Linked DNA regions of Solanum lycopersicum. The protein of the gene in region 1 interacts with the protein of each later gene in a pairwise test. Links are inferred from orthologs where the notes say so. Each region holds a gene or a part of one and is shown in the gene's direction. Other genes may lie near its edges.

Evidence for each region.
Region 2: the proteins of IAA19 (region 1) and protein phosphatase 1 regulatory inhibitor subunit PPP1R8 homolog interact in binary tests that used the Arabidopsis thaliana proteins (3 or more experiments, as listed by UniProt). The link is inferred for Solanum lycopersicum from reciprocal best matches to the Arabidopsis thaliana genes IAA19 and AT5G47790.

What each region holds. Positions count from the first base shown.
Region 1 is NC_090802.1:65,646,413-65,650,041, forward strand, and holds IAA19 (IAA19), read left to right. Parts: upstream 1-1,351; 5' UTR 1,352-1,397; coding exon 1,398-1,773; intron 1,774-1,954; coding exon 1,955-2,048; intron 2,049-2,678; coding exon 2,679-2,787; 3' UTR 2,788-2,970; downstream 2,971-3,629. UniProt on the Arabidopsis thaliana protein: Aux/IAA proteins are short-lived transcriptional factors that function as repressors of early auxin response genes at low auxin concentrations.
Region 2 is NC_090803.1:6,018,702-6,021,737, forward strand, and holds the end of protein phosphatase 1 regulatory inhibitor subunit PPP1R8 homolog, read left to right. Parts: coding exon 1-253; intron 254-1,435; coding exon 1,436-2,237; 3' UTR 2,238-2,474; downstream 2,475-3,036. UniProt on the Arabidopsis thaliana protein: Inhibitor of protein-phosphatase 1 (PP1). Binds to and inhibits PP1 activity.

The sequences.
Region 1 (3,629 bases):
ATTAATTTCTAATCTAAGGGATTCAAAGTAAGATTTCTATGTCCCAATATTGCAAAATATTCTCATCGTGGTATCTTCTTGTTATAATGTAGTATAAACTGATTGTCTATAATTGGAGAAATTATATTCCTTTAATAACATGCTACTTATTATATGTGTAAATAATAATATTATCTCGCAGAAATTTGCCTTCTCTGCAAGAATCAAATATCCATATACCCTATTATAATTGGATATGTTCCTCAAAAAATTAATTGTCCGTGTATTAGAAAATTATAACGGAGACAAAAAAATAAATAAATTATGGTATTCTTTTTCGTAAACTATCATTTTTTTTCAAGAGAAATATGTGTATTCATTGGTTTCGAAATTGTCAATCCTAATTCAAATACATGACTATATATGTAAAATTTTTGAAATAAACATAACACTTAATTTAACTTAAATTTAACTGTATTAGTTTTGACAAAAGGTCACATTTGCCCCTTAACTAGTGAAATAGAATAATTATGCCCTCCTGTTTGATTTTAGTCCCAAATAGGCTCTTGTCCAATTAAAAGATTTGTTTAGCTAGAGACGAAATCATAATTTAAAGTACTTATGAATATGAAATTCTAGTTTTTTTTCAAGTTATTGACTTCAAAATTTATAATTTGTACGAATAAATTTCTTAAAATTAATGAGAGAGAAGGTACATAGGATCAAAGGTAAAGCAGTGCTTTCTTGCCAGAGTTTTAGGTGGCAAGAGACTTGGATTCAACTATAAAGAGAACCAGGAACGTAGGGCTTTTCCCCCTTCCGCCCGACTTCTTGTTCTTAAAAACGCTGGTTATAAGAATGAGTCATTGCCCTTCTCCTACCCTGACTGTCCAACCTGATAGCGGACAGTTATTGCGTTCCACTTATTAAACAAGATTCTATTGTCAATCACGTAAATAGCTTTTAAACCAAACTTGATTCGGCCAATCCATAAGTTACCCAATATAAACCCGTATATAAAATCTGAAGAGATTAATATATACACATACCTTATCCGTACTTGCAAAAATTTTATCCCAACTCGAAATAATTACATGTATATATGTACCTTTATTTGCACGCGTATATTAATGTGTCTACAAACATATTGGGAACACTTCATCACATGGCATGTCTTTTGTTAACCATATCAAACGGTCACAAGTAAATCTCCACAAATTATTAATGTTTTAAATTACATACCTAACATATATATTTTCCCTACCTTTGTATCTCATGTGACCGACCATTAAGTTTAGTTTACCTGCCATTGTCTTCTCAATTATTTATTTCCTATATATACTCATAAACACACACACTCATTTTTTCCATCAAAACAACAATATATTAATTTTCCAGTCTTCAAAACATAATACGAAATGGCAACAGAATTGGAAATTACTGAGCTAAGATTGGGACTTCCAGGAGGAATATTGGAGAAAAATGAAAAGAAAAGGGTTTATTCGGAAATTACTACTAGTGATCGAAACAGCAGCAGCAGCAACAACAACAACAACGTTGAGGCTAATAATTACAAGTGTCAATACAAGAACGAAGTTGTTGGTTGGCCTCCTGTGTGTGCTTACCGGAAAAAGAACAGTTTTAACGGACGTGAAGCTGAATCCAATAATAAAATGTACGTCAAAGTTAGCATGGATGGAGCACCGTTTTTGAGGAAAGTTGATTTGAGTACTCATAAGGGTTATGATCAACTTGTTATGGCTCTTGAAAAACTCTTTGATTGCTATGGAATTGGTTAGTATTTCAGTTTTCTATATTAACATGCATTTATTTAGGCAAAGTGAAATTATTATTATTGAAATGTACGGTTACTGTACTATACTAATAAACATAAATCGAGCATCTTTTTCATAAATATAAGCAATTTAATTGCTAGTGTTATATATGTTAAATTTGTATTTAAATGTGTCAACAGGAGAAGCATTGGAGGATGCAGATAAGTCAGAGTTCGTTCCAATCTATGAAGACAAAGATGGAGATTGGATGCTTGTCGGCGATGTTCCATGGATGTAAGTATTTCACTTTCTCTTTATGTTCTATTCGAGACGACAGATTCAGAATTTTTATTAATTTAGGAACATATTTAATATAATACTTGAGATTTGAATTTTGAAATTGTCGACTGAATTTTAAATTCAGTCGACCTCTAATCTTATGTTAAAAAAAGTTCAAATTTTATATATTAGTAATTTTTTAACGCGATCTGCCCCTCGGGCACCTTATCCCTAATTGAATCTTCTTTAATTAATTGTAAAACTAAACTAATTAATGTGTTAAAAGGGGTGTAAAATTTAGCTTATAGTACATAAATTGACCAATTTAGTCAAATTTAGGTGATTTAAACTAGCATATATTCACTGATGGATCAATTTTGTCCTTTTTAAGGCATAGATCAAAACATCATTATGCCGATAAATTAGAACATTGAAACCCGATTAAATAGGGATTCGTGCCAGGAAGGTTAAAACTTCCTAACAAAGGCAGCTTTATACCCAAGACAACTAAAATCTGAAACCTCTTGGTTAAGAATAAATTACTACCTACCACACTATAACAACCTTGATCGGTTACTCATCAAACATTTTGTAGTGTTAGAAAAAATCAAAAGAAGTCGTATTAATTGGAATTTGATTTAGCAGAATGTTCAGTGAATCATGCAAAAGGCTAAGGATCATGAAGAGATCAGAGGCAAAAGTGATAGGGCTTGGAGCAAGAGACTTTCTCAAGGGAATGTCTCAAGAGAAATAGAGTGGATGATTCAAGCTATATTTTTACATTAATATATAATTGTAATTGTAATCTTAGGTGTGATAAGACACCCTAGACTTAAAATCAATTTCTGATTTGATTTCCTCTTAATTAGCTTAATTATTGTAGTAATCAGTACCTTATTTGCTCTTAAATGACAATTTTCGTATGTATAATAAGGCTATATGTGTAACCAACATGTTGTGCTGAAATTGTGGCTACCATCTAACTTTCCCTTTGTTTCAATTTCATATCAATTGTCCACGTTACTAAAAAGTTCTTTTTTTACATTATTTGTATTTCTATTTTCCTTATCTTTTTTAAAAAAATTTATTTTTTCTAGCTAGTTTTTTCCTTATCTGTTCACCATGTTGAAGTTGGATTTATCAAATATCTATAACTCGATTAAGGTGAACAATATAATATCGAGTAGACAATTAGCATACACTAATTAGCTATACATATTCATGCATACTTATGTAAAAATGGAAAGATTCCTGTATCACTCCAACACACTTATAAGTCCAATGTATTTTTTTCTTGGATCATTAAATACTGATGAACCTTAATTTTTATTTTTATTGGGGGGATAATAAAGCAGTGATATACCATATGAATATACTTTTGTTTCACTACATATCACAGTATTCAGTGTGGAAATACATGCACACGGACTAATTCTTACTTCCACCGAAATTAATATCCAAAAAAAAAAAATTAATTATCAATCAAATCATGTGTTGCGAATATGTAATTATTCTAAAAAAAACTTCATAAGAATTAACCATAGAGATCACCTATGAATCACGTAAAAGGTAGATATTCATTTATTTTTAGAGAAA
Region 2 (3,036 bases), on another chromosome or scaffold:
CTTCTATAGGGCCAACTCATCATGTCACTCATGGAGGGGGACAATCAACTTGGCAGCCTCCTGATTGGGCTATTGAGCCACGTCGAGGCGTTTATTATCTTGATGTGATCAAAGACGGGGAGGTACTTGATCGAATTAATTTGGATAAGCGAAGGCATATCTTTGGACGACAGTTTCACACTTGTGATTTTGTCCTTGATCATCAGTCAGTCTCACGCCAGCACGCTGCTGTGGTTCCTCACAAAAATGGAAGGTGTGACACGTGTTCCTGTTTTTTGCTTATTTAGTGGTGAACATATTATTTTGTTATTTAGGCTAGCTTGGCAGGAGAAGTCGACAAGTAATTATTGAATGGATGAAATACTACATAACACGAATATAACTCTATGATGATGAAATGCTTGAATATGTTATGAAATTCATTTTTATGCATTTCTTCTTTGAGCTGAAGTGAGTAAGTAAAAAAATTAAGCAAGCTTTGGCGTCAGGGCCATGGTTCCATTACTAATAAATCACTTATATATGTGTGGAAATATCTTGTGTGGACTTCAACTTTTAAATTTGTTCTTGCTGGACATTCTTACTAAAGCAATGATATTTTGCATATTTGTTGCTTATTTTTGAAGATTCACAAATACTACCCCACAATGCAAGAAATGAGGAACTGTGGATTTATTCGATGTTGCTCAAGATCATTTCAAATTTTGTTGTTAACTGTTAATTGTACAATTTGGGACATCAAGAATGTCATGTATCTGTAAATATCATCTATCATGGTCATCCAATCCTCGTGAATTGGAGCATCTAGCCCCATTTAGATTTAAGTAATAAAGATGATTCTTTTGACTGCATAGTCATTTTGATAACACTGTTAATGTAACTTGTCAATTTTGACAAACATATCTCCAGGGTAAAAAATAGGTGTTAAAATAGGTGTTTACTAGATTTGCATTTCTGGTGTAAAAGTAGTGTTATGGTGTAAAAGTAGTGTTATGGGAAACTTGATTGAATAGATGAATTTTCTTGAGGAATTAGATGATATGTAGAAGGCTTTTTTTAATCTGCAGTTGGGTTGCTGTAATTGTGCCATTTTGGTACCTTTATCAATAAAATTTTACCTTATCGGGAAAAAGAGCAACTTGTCAATAGTGAGAATCCTTATTGACATAGAAGTATTCTTTTCTTCTTATGATCAGGTTGGCCTGCTTATAAATTATTATTTTTTGTTACTTCTACTGTGTGTCTTTAGACAAAGAAATTGCTCCTTTTGAAACTGTAATGCCTATCCTTAGATGTCAAGACACACCTTTTGAAAAGATATTATATAAGGATAGGCATTACAGTTTTAAAAGGTGCAATTTCTTTGTCTAAAGACACAGTAGAAGTAACGAAAATAAATAATTTATGTGAACTAATAATATCTTTTCTCTCGCAGCATTTATGTGATTGATTTAGGATCTGCACATGGAACATTTGTTGCTAATGAGAGGCTAACAAAGGATTCCCCTGTCGAGCTCGAGACTGGACAATCTTTGAAGTTTGCTGCATCAACAAGGACTTACATCTTGAGAAAGAACAATGAAGCTCTCTTCCCTCCTGCACGACTACCTGCAGAAATAGATTTACCACCAGTTCCAGATCCTTCAGATGAGGAAGCTGTTTTGGCTTATAACACCTTTTTAAACCGCTATGGACTTACTAGGCCTGATTCATTGTCAAAATCAACAGTATCAACTAGTGAGAAGGATGCCAATCATTCATCTGAGAGGCCTACAAAAAGAATTAGGAGAAGAAGTGTGTCATTTAAAGACCAGGTTGGGGGGGAGCTAGTTGAAGTTGTCGGTATTTCAGATGGAGTAGATGTGGAGACAGAACCTGGTCCAGTGGGTGTGAAAGAAGGAAGTCTTGTTGGAAAATATGAGTCTCTTATAGAAATTACAGTGATACCCAAAGGGAAAGAACACTCCTCTGTAAAAGATGTCAACGTTTCCCAAACAGGTGTAACAGACAAACTTAAACAGGTATTGAACAAGGTGAAGAATCCGCCTAAGGGTGGAATTTATGACGATCTTTATGGAGAATCAATTCCTAGTAAAGTTGGATCTTGGGCATATTCTGGTATCGGTCAGTCTGCTTCCACTAACGATGCTGAAGGACACTCCCCTGGTTCCTTAGGCAGAGTCTCTGGGAGTATCTCAAGCAATGTGGATGACGATACTGATGATTTGTTTGGCTAGCAAACACATTGCTTACTTTTGAATTCGGCCTCAACCCCTGGCCATTGGCAATGAGTTCAGACGTATGAGCTGCACGAGGCATCTCAAGTAGATTAAATTATGTTAGTCGTTGTATTCTTCTCTTTCCTGGCGTGTGCACCAACAGGGATTCAATTTTGAACTTAAAACTTTGTTTGTCAGGACACTGAATCTGTGACTTGAGATCAATGGAAAAAAGTGTCTTATCTTTCCCATTTTCATTTTGTGCAGAACAAGTGGTCATAAACTCAATGCTCATGTGGTGCTTTTTGTTGTATGATGTGATCAGCAAATACAATATTTACTAGGAACTATCAAAAATTTATCTTTAGGGCTGTATATAGCCTATGAAAATCTATTATTATCTTATTCTATCCTTAGTTTTAACTCGTAAGATTTTCCTAGATATGTTGTTGTTCCCATAACTTAATGATTCTCTGAAAACATTTTTTCATTATATAAGCAATTTTTCAAACACAATTAATATCTAGTTAGCTGGGTGGTGTTGAACTTTTGATCCCCAAGTATGAGGGAGTTGAAACAAAATCAATAAATTCATAAATAAATGTATAAAGATTTAAGCTCCAAGATACAAATTTTAAATCTTTTTGAAAATTAACTTCTTCTAAGATTGATAACAAAAATTTATAGTTGTAGATTATTTCTTAAATTTCAGTGTTTAAATGATGAAATAATATATTAATATCAAAATATTTGATCAGAATCTCTATATTTATATTGTTGATAATATTAGAGATTCTATGTTTTTTTCAAACACAAT